Saccharomyces cerevisiae S288C: one gene and its partners. The protein of the gene in region 2 purifies or fractionates together with the protein of the main gene of each other region. This does not show direct contact. Each region holds a gene or a part of one and is shown on either strand. Other genes may lie near its edges. The genes, in order: CUS1, RDS3 and HSH155.

Region 1 (3,760 bases), on a different chromosome or scaffold from region 2:
TCTGTAGAATTTAATAATTTCAACATTTCATGAACGGCCAGAGGTAAATGGGTAAGGCTTCCTTTCAAAGAATCTATAGATATTAAGGTTTGCATGAAGTAAATAGCTGATAACCTTAGTACAATTAGAACAAGTTGAGACAAATAGGAAGCACCCCAGCATAAGAGCAATATCCTCAGAAAAAAAAAAAATGACTAAGCTAAATAATTAATTTTTTTAAAAAAAACTTATAGTACAATACACGCTAATGTTTGGCAACTGGGGTTTCACCAGTCATTCTGGCGACAAATTCCTTCGCCATATCACCAAAACCAACCATGAAGACAGTTTGCCAGATACCTAAACCAATTCTTGGGGTGACACCACGGTAAAGACCCTTTAGACCATTTGATTGATAGATGTATTTAAATGTCTTACCAACAGTCAAATTTTTTGGTCTGTTTGGATCTTCCTTCTTAGATTGCATTTCAACTCTAATGACTTCGATTGGTTGATTCCAAGCACTTAAACCACCACCTAAAGCACTGGCACCAATTTTCTCGAACGGATTCAACTTGTCGTCTTTATTGGTTTTCCCGGTGATCTTTCTGATACCATCTTCCACTAGTCTGGACAAACCAAAACGAGAACCCCAGTTGGTCATTTGTCTAATAGCAACAGCATTAACACCCTTATTAATACCTCTAATACCTTCCTTTTTATAAATATTCTTGAACACACTCCAAGAAGATTGTGGGACACCACCTGCGGAGGCAGATTTATGTCTTGTAATTTCCACCGTTTTCATACAGGTACAGAACCCCATGGTTAAGTAGGCTTGAGTGACACCACCCGTGACACCACCTAATATACCTGAGGCAAAGTTGTTCAACCCCAAACTTTTGAAACGATACTCAGCCTCAGCTGACACGAACAGCAACACAGCACCTTTAGTGGAGGCTTCGATCCATGCCCATGGAATCAAACCTTGGTAGTAACCCAAGATACCACCTCTTGACCAGACATGCTTAACAGATTCTAAAAATGTGAAGTTTCTGTTTGCAGCCATTGTGGTCTTAACAACCTCCAAAGGTTGCCCTAATGTAGTCACCTCTGACAAGTTTAAACAGGCACCCAATAGGATATTAGAAAACGAGACTGGCTTTTTTTCTATTACGTTTGCTGCAGCAGTATTAGTGGTAGATGGCATAGCTATAATGACGTCGGGCTTTTCCTAGCTTTATTTGTACAAAAGACTTATATAAAAAGATTGTATCAGCGCTGTTTATATCTCAATGAAAGTAGATATATATACCGTAAGCGAGTTGAAACAATGACTTGAGGTGGGCAGCTTCGGACTTTTTGCAAAATTCAAATCCGAATATCTAGAAGATTGTATTGACAGCGTTTTTTAAATGTCCGTAGATTTCTCGAGATATATAAATGTTACAGAAGGTAAGATCCATGCAAGAGGCTAATGCGTTTTTCTTTTTTTTTTTTAGAGTGCGATATCTTGTCATAAGTTTACACAATGGGACAAAGGAAGCTAAAACATGAGTGCAAAAGAAGGGCCCATGTTTGTCGCCCTATGCATTTAGCCAATCATCTTTTTTTTTTGCGTGATCTTTATCAATCGTGATTCTCTGCCTTCTGAGTGAAAAAAGTCATGATCTTCGCGTTATTGCAGCGGAATTTGCCGACAGGACCTAGGTCTTGAGAAAGAAAAGTGATAGGGTAAGTAATGGAAGAAGAGGGCACAGGTCCAATCACGCAGCTTCATTACAGGGCTATAATTGCAAGAATAATAACTTTCAACCATATAGAAATCCAATACAGTATATTGGTATTGTTTAGAAAGGTATTAAGAAGGCAGTAGCATACAGAGTATATATCTATAGGCAGAGCATCAGATCATAAAGATAGTGGTGAAATGGCTAGAACCAAAAGTAGGAAGCGTTCCGGAAATAACCAAAATAAGAATGCGTCTGTGGTAAATAATAAGGCTGAGATCGCCGCCATGATTGATGCAAGAAGGCTTGAGCAAAAGAAAAAGGGTGGGGTGACTAACAGCAAAGGAAAGACGAATAAGGTAGTGGATGCGAAGTTAGAAAAAGAGTTCAAAGACGTTTTACAACGATTTCAAGTGCAAGAGAATGATACGCCGAAGGAAATCACGAAAGATGAAAAGAACAATCATGTCGTTATTGTTGAGAAAAACCCAGTTATGAACAGAAAGCATACAGCAGAAGATGAATTGGAGGATACACCCTCGGATGGTATTGAGGAGCATCTATCGGCAAGAAAACGTAGGAAGACTGAAAAACCTTCACTTTCGCAGTTAAAAAGCCAGGTACCGTATCCTCAAATTATAGAATGGTACGATTGTGACGCAAGATATCCAGGCTTACTAGCGTCAATTAAGTGCACCAAAAATGTCATTCCTGTTCCAAGCCACTGGCAGTCCAAGAAGGAATATCTATCTGGCCGTTCTCTGTTAGGTAAAAGACCTTTTGAACTTCCTGACATTATCAAGAAGACAAATATAGAACAAATGAGATCGACGCTTCCGCAAAGCGGACTGGATGGTCAAGATGAAAAGTCACTAAAGGAGGCCTCAAGAGCAAGAGTGCAGCCGAAAATGGGCGCCTTGGATTTGGATTACAAGAAGTTACACGATGTGTTTTTCAAGATAGGAGCCAACTGGAAACCTGACCATTTGTTATGCTTCGGTGACGTCTATTATGAAAATAGGAATCTTTTCGAGGAAACGAACTGGAAAAGAATGGTTGATCATAAGAGACCGGGGAGAATTAGCCAAGAGCTTCGTGCCATAATGAATTTACCCGAAGGTCAACTACCACCATGGTGTATGAAGATGAAAGACATTGGATTACCTACGGGATATCCTGATCTGAAAATTGCCGGCTTGAATTGGGATATAACGAATTTAAAAGGCGACGTTTACGGAAAAATAATCCCTAATCACCATTCAAGGTCCAAGAAACAGGGTAGAAACTATTTTGGCGCATTGATCTCATTTGAAACCCCTGAATTTGAAAATTCAAAAGAGGATACACAGGCGAATGCGGAAAATGGGCGCCAAGATGACAAAATCGATGATGAAGTAGAGCATAAGTTAGATCACTTCCAGGAAGACATATCCGAAGTGACAAGCGCAGAAGAAAAACTTGAGAGAAACGAAGAGGAATCGGAGAAGCAACTATATACTGTATTGAAATAACTACTAAATATCGCATAGGTACTTCAGTTTTACAAAATTTTACATGTGGTACTATTTCTCACGTACGAGTTTTTTTCTTTTTTAAATGCGGCCCTAAACCATGCTGAAATTTTTCATGAGCTCATCGCAAAATTTATCTCATTATCAGGTCATATAGTCACTCTCAGGAGAATCCTGCTCGATCAAAGTGAGGCAAGTAAATGCGCATATAGAAGAGAGCAAAACTGTCCTATTTACAAGCTTTTCAAAACAATGGGCTCAAAAGTAGCAGGTAAAAAGAAAACCCAGAATGATAATAAACTAGATAACGAAAATGGTTCACAGCAGCGCGAAAATATCAATACCAAGACGCTTTTGAAAGGCAACCTTAAGATATCAAATTACAAATATCTTGAGGTGATTCAACTAGAACATGCTGTGACAAAATTGGTGGAGTCTTACAATAAAATAATTGAACTTTCACCAAATTTGGTAGCTTACAATGAAGCCGTTAACAATCAAGATAGAGTGCCTGTTCAGATACTTCCTTCTCTATCACGT
Region 2 (2,914 bases):
TATTTGTAATAAGAGAAAGCTTACCATTTTGCAGAGGATGGAAAGACTTAGGTCTATAAAATCAGCCAAATGGGAGAAATTGAAAAAATTTGAAAGCACTCTGATGCTTATGGGAAAATGTGTTCCTATTAGCACAAAGACTAAGACAGATATGATAAACCGCATAAGACAGCTGGCTGTCAGAATGGACTGGTTAATCTACGAAATTAAGAGAAGCGAGCTGTTTGTAAGTATCATAAAAGAAGTGACTCGCAAGCAGGCTGAAAAGAATATCTTAGAGCATGGTAAAGGAGAAGAGGAGGGGCAAGGCAATAACGACGATAGTGATGGTATAGATGATATAGAGGAAAGCTTCTTATTCAACGAGAACAGTTTGCAAGTGTGCGTGAGCGACAGTAGTTACGACGAATATAGTAACGAATAAGGGGAAGAAAATAGTACCATGGGTTATAAATGCATGTTATTTATTTATATATTTTTACATATTCTATATGTATGTGTTATACCTTTTTCTTTTTCTCGAAATGTCTATCCAGTCTATTGCTGCCAAGGTTTAAGATCCTAGGACAGCCATCTTTATCTTTACCTAAGCGGCAGCACTCCCAACAATAGAATGCGTCATTGACTCCAACATTTAGATTACAAATTATACAATTTTTAGCTTGTTTACCAAACGAACAGTTTTCACATACTCTAACTTTCCTTTTGGGCCTTACATAAGAGTCGCAGATAGGACATTTGCCATCACATTTTTCACAAAGAAGACCTGTCTGTACACCAGGCTGCTTTAGGCACATTATTAGATCAAACTGATGGCGGGACATGTTTTTTTTGTTGGAGGCTTGTATGTGTGTGGATCTTTTTTGTATCCATCTTCATTTTCTATGTTGAATGCCTTAGTAAGTGAGAAATATGGCAAGTAATGCATATATGGAAGAACAGAAAGTGAGAAAAAAAAATAGAAAAAAAGATGCAAGGAGTTGAGCCAAGGGAGAGACCATACCCTCAGCCAAATATCCAAATATCATATAAAAAGATGGAAGAGTGTCCTATTTGTTTGGCAGATGACCAAGAGGGTGAACAATTTGGATGTTTGAACGTTTGCGGGCATAAATTCCACTTAAACTGTATAAGAGAGTGGCACAAGTATAGTATCAACTTGAAGTGCCCCATCTGCAGGGTTGAATCCACCCATTTAGAAGTTGGCGAAGGGCAACATGCACTTTCTATAAATTTGAAGATGGGGTTTATGATTAAGAATGCTATCGATTATGTGGGGGCCGAAACAACTAACGAAAGAAATGAGGACGATACAGGGGAGCAAGACCAAGAAATAGAATTTCTCAGCGAAAGGCTTAGAGGTACGCTGGTGATGGATACCATTAAGATAATTCAGTGCAGCATATGCGGAGACACAGATGTTTCTCGATTAAGCCTGTATTGCCAAGACTGCGAAGCAATATATCACGAAACATGTCTACGCGGGCTAGCTTGTGAGGTGGGCGATCGCAATACGTGGCAGGAGTGCACAGATTGTAGATCAAATGCATTGCTCGAGCTGCGCATGGGTGCTATCAGTAGCCAACTTGCTAGCTACGATTCCAGGAATTCCATGATTTTTGCTGGTGAGTTACGGGACAAGCACAGCGTCAAGACACAGCAGATGTATGAACAGATACGGAATGCCAAGCACAAAATCCAGATGCACGTGCGACGAGCACTGGACCGGTACCCACTGCCTCTGCTGCGCTTCAAGGATGCCTACAAGCACGTCAACAAGCAAGTATCCCGCAAGTTGTACCGTCTCTCTGACAACAAGTACCTGCCTGACCAGTACGATTACGACTCTTTAGCCCGAACTGGAGTGCACACAGAACTCCTAATTTACTGTCATGATGAGTAGTAATGCAATATAACATTAAAACAAGATATAAACAGTATAATACTCTAGTATGAGCCCTAAAAAAAACCCTCAGAAGCGGGTGACCCATCTCTCGTACGACGTATAAAAGCACAAGTTTGACCCATAGAATTTTTTTTTCACATCTTCCTTTGTTTGCTTCTTCGTCTTCAATAGAAAACAGTTGAACAAACTCAAATATAGCACCATTGTGAGTGCTACTGCACTACAAAGAGGCAGATTAAGCGACCAGTAGGTCCCTTGGAAGAGATAATATATGAGTTCCTTTTTTCTTTTTCCATTTTCTTTCTGTGTGACTCCCCTATGATTAAAAATTATTAATCATATACCAATTGTTCCGACTGAATAGTGGTTTAACTACATGTCGACAACCCTTTTTCGTTAAGTTTCAGCCTTGTATGAGGGGTGCCACGGAAGGGAAGAAAAGAAAGCATTTATCTTTCATTATTATCTTTTTCATGCCTGCAATGGAATTTTTAATTTTCCTTTTGATATGATGATTTGTTGTCGACCGGGCGGACATATTAGTATCTGTTAAAGGGTCGCCGTCTACTCTCATCGTTCTTTTGTGTACAAATTTTTTAAAGGAGCGATGTTGATGGCATTATGGTTCTTTAGTGGAGAATTGATGATTGGTCACAAGACATCTGATTTTTTCGGAAATTTGTTTCTTATTTCAATTTATTCCTTATCAGTTGATTTGGATGATAAAAGAGACTGTTGCGGACTAGTTTATTATGATGATTTTTTTATATTCACACTGTACTAGATTGGTCTCTTTAACGAAGGGGCTAATTGATGACTACAAAATAAAAAATAACTGATTTAATGACTCTGAAAAACTAGTTCTACAACCTAACTAATCTTGCACCCTATGTAGCCCTTTAAATAACTCTTGGTTCTCTTCCCTTTAGATCTTTCATTTTTGCACCTAATTGGTATGGCACATTTTTCAGTTTTCTCCCACTTAAGTTTTCTCCGTAAATCCCTCTT
Region 3 (3,760 bases), on a different chromosome or scaffold from region 2:
GAGGTAACATAGGAACAACCGTATCTGGTAAATATGTGGTAAATGATCTTTTCAAGGCAACATTTAGGATATCTGTACTTATACCCTCAATATCAACATTAGTGCTTTCCGGAAACATAGAAGTTGGATCCGCAATATGAATATATAAAGTGTACAGTCCATCTCTACCATAGTTTTTCACCGACACGCCGTCATCAATCTCATGCGCAGTTTCAGAGTCTATACAAAAAACCCTAAGATCGCCAAAATCGTACCTATCGTCATCAGTGCCGGATTTTTTCCATTGCAATTCTTCTATATTAGTTAAGTCGTAGAGTTTTTGTTGCCATTTCACTAACTTCGAGGAAGCAGGTAATGCTAAATCCATGTTAAGTAACAATGGATTGGGTATTGAGTTGGGTGTTATCTCATTGATTAAATCTTGACATATATCTCTTGTGATGTCACAATCCTTATAGCGTTCTATCTTTCTGAATATTTTTGAGATCAAAGCTACTATAATTCCGTTATTGTGAAAATTCCCAGCAGCAAAATCTTTCAATAATTGGATCACAGAAGGATATAAAGCTGATATATCGCGATATTTCCTTTCATTCACCAATTTTACAAACTTATTGACCTCTCTATAACTGTTGGCTTCTAGCTTCTCTATCACCTGCGCATAATATAAATGTTGTGATTTTAAGGGAATAATCGTTACTGATATAGGCGACAGCAACGCTGTATTCAGATGGATTTCCCCCCAAAGGTTCGATTCCTGTTGTTGCATAATCGCCCAGTACGTGGAAACAAAGGTAGGTGAATTTATTGGTATATCGTTTACAGTGTGATAGTTATTAACTAAACTAGTTAAGTAATTTATTCCATTTTTATCGTCCAAGGCTTTATTTAAATCCAATTTCTGAACTAATCCGACTAGGGTAAAAAAAGGAATCTGCCATGGACCCATATAATTTTGTAATGATCTGTGGAGTAACTGTAATTTTTTGGTAGTAATGGGCAAATCTTTCCAGGCCAACTTTGAAATTTGGGCTGGATACCTACTTGTTATTAGCTGCCTTGCTACAATAGGCAAAATATTCGTTTGGTTAGAAAAGTTCTTAACGGTTCCAATTGGCAAATGTTTGTGATGGCTCTCAGGCTGTATAAGTGAATGGATTCCAGCAGGTAATTTGTGAGGAATCCTCAATAACACCCGGTTTTTGGTCGCAAAGCACATAGTTCCATCAATAGTAACAAAAGTGTATCGAGGATCCATAGTGCTACTTGGAAGACTTACACACATCGCCAATTCATTGGGTCTCATTTTTAAAAGAACAAAGTCACCAACATTTAAGGGACTTTCCATTAGCTGAACAGGTTGAAATTCCATTGGGTTTGGAGCTTTCAGTTTTGTTATTAATTGAAAATCTGAATTTATTAACTTGTAAAGCGGAATTTTTGGTTTTGTTAAAGACCTCCAGGAGTTTACGTACCAATCTTCGGAAGGTTTAACATACCTATCTTTATAACGTTGGTTAAATTCCTGTTTAATTTGAGGCAGTTGTTTTAATTCAATATCAGGCTCTAATCCTTTTGTTCGTTGCAGAAAGTCTTTGTTTATTGATTCTATATCTTTCTCCGGTCCAACCGAACGGTCTACAACTGTCTCTGTAGCTTGATCATTATCTAGCTCTCGTGTGTGATCTAGTTCTACTTTTGCTTGCTGCTTACTCTTACTTCGCTGTCGTTTGCCTCTGGTAGTTACTCTGAAGCAAGGTGTGTAGGAATGAAAGCTCCTTGCAATTAGAAGAACATGTACTTTCCGCCTAACTACCATCACCTGTCTTTATTTATTCCGCTGACAGATATGCACAACCAATTATCGTCTCTTGAAAGCTTTTTAGACGTGATTGCTGTTATTTGGCACGTTGTTAGTATTTAAGCTTATTCGGGTTTGCATTGATATTTGCCCGAGCAGAAATCTCCTTCTCGATGAGTTAGAACTGAAACATCTCTTCAATTACTTATACATAATAAACATAGAAAGCCAGGACCTGTCATCATGAGTCATCCGATTCAATTTGTAAACGCTAATAATAGCGATAAGAGCCACCAATTAGGCGGTCAATATTCTATTCCTCAGGATTTGAGGGAAAACCTGCAGAAAGAAGCTGCACGTATTGGTGAGAACGAAAAAGATGTGCTACAGGAAAAAATGGAAACTAGGACAGTGCAAAATCGAGAGGATTCATACCACAAAAGAAGGTTTGATATGAAGTTTGAGCCGGATTCCGATACACAAACTGTTACGTCTTCAGAAAATACCCAAGACGCTGTCGTGCCAAGGAAAAGAAAATCTCGTTGGGATGTAAAAGGGTACGAGCCACCTGATGAATCTTCAACAGCGGTCAAAGAAAACTCTGATAGTGCTTTGGTTAATGTAGAAGGAATCCATGATTTGATGTTTTTTAAACCTTCTGACCATAAATATTTCGCCGACGTTATATCCAAAAAACCCATAGATGAGTTAAATAAGGATGAAAAGAAAGAAAGAACCCTGTCGATGTTACTTCTGAAAATAAAAAATGGCAATACAGCGAGTAGGAGGACTTCTATGCGGATTTTAACCGATAAAGCTGTTACATTTGGTCCAGAAATGATATTTAACCGCTTATTGCCCATATTACTAGACAGAAGTTTGGAAGACCAGGAAAGACATCTAATGATCAAGACCATAGATCGCGTCCTTTACCAGCTAGGAGATTTAACAAAACCTTACGTTCACAAAATACTTGTAGTAGCTGCCCCATTGCTAATAGATGAAGATCCAATGGTTCGTTCAACAGGCCAGGAGATAATCACCAATCTGTCTACAGTCGCTGGCCTAAAAACCATTCTAACAGTAATGAGACCTGATATTGAGAATGAGGATGAGTATGTTAGAAATGTAACTTCAAGAGCGGCGGCTGTGGTGGCAAAAGCCCTTGGTGTTAATCAATTGCTTCCTTTCATCAATGCAGCATGCCACTCACGGAAGTCTTGGAAAGCAAGGCATACTGGCATAAAAATTGTGCAGCAAATAGGTATACTTTTGGGAATAGGTGTCTTGAATCATCTTACTGGGCTGATGAGTTGTATCAAAGACTGCCTAATGGATGATCACGTTCCGGTGCGAATTGTTACAGCACATACTTTATCAACACTAGCAGAAAATTCTTATCCATATGGTATCGAAGTTTTCAACGTTGTACTGGAGCCATTATGGAAGGGTATAAGAAGTCATCGTGGTAAAGTGCTATCTTCTTTTTTAAAAGCTGTTGGATCTATGATCCCATTGATGGACCCAGAGTATGCCGGTTATTATACCACAGAAGCAATGAGAATAATTAGACGTGAATTCGACTCTCCCGATGATGAAATGAAAAAGACCATTCTTTTAGTATTACAAAAATGTAGCGCTGTAGAATCCATAACGCCAAAATTTCTGAGAGAAGAAATCGCGCCAGAATTCTTTCAAAAATTTTGGGTCAGACGAGTGGCATTGGATAGACCATTAAACAAAGTTGTTACATATACTACTGTTACATTAGCAAAGAAATTAGGTTGTTCTTATACCATTGATAAATTATTAACACCATTGAGAGATGAAGCTGAGCCGTTCAGAACAATGGCTGTCCATGCTGTTACTAGAACAGTAAACTTATTAGGGACAGCAGATTTAGATGAGAGATTAGAAACGAGGCTTATTGATGCGCTCTTGATAGCATTTCAAGAACAA

Evidence for each region.
Region 1: the proteins of RDS3 (region 2) and CUS1 purify together in Saccharomyces cerevisiae (affinity purification with mass spectrometry; 3 studies listed by BioGRID). This does not show direct contact.
Region 3: the proteins of RDS3 (region 2) and HSH155 purify together in Saccharomyces cerevisiae (affinity purification with mass spectrometry; 4 studies listed by BioGRID). This does not show direct contact.

Annotation. Positions count from the first base shown.
Region 1 is NC_001145.3:749,390-753,149, reverse strand, and holds CUS1 (U2 snRNP complex subunit CUS1), read left to right. Parts: upstream 1-1,909; coding exon 1,910-3,220; downstream 3,221-3,760. Other genes in the region: YHM2 (Yhm2p), read right to left, coding at 245-1,189; RNT1 (ribonuclease III), read left to right, coding at 3,473-3,760. UniProt on the Saccharomyces cerevisiae protein: Essential splicing protein required for U2 snRNP binding to pre-mRNA during spliceosome assembly.
Region 2 is NC_001148.4:718,547-721,460, reverse strand, and holds RDS3 (U2 snRNP complex subunit RDS3), read right to left. Parts: upstream 825-2,914; coding exon 501-824; downstream 1-500. Other genes in the region: Arf family guanine nucleotide exchange factor SYT1, read left to right, coding at 1-424; ubiquitin-protein ligase ASR1, read left to right, coding at 1,037-1,903. UniProt on the Saccharomyces cerevisiae protein: Required for pre-mRNA splicing. Involved in regulation of drug sensitivity and may play a role in multidrug resistance.
Region 3 is NC_001145.3:843,527-847,286, forward strand, and holds the start of HSH155 (U2 snRNP complex subunit HSH155), read left to right. Parts: upstream 1-2,044; coding exon 2,045-3,760. Other genes in the region: DSS1 (exoribonuclease II), read right to left, coding at 1-1,819. UniProt on the Saccharomyces cerevisiae protein: Contacts pre-mRNA on both sides of the branch site early in spliceosome assembly.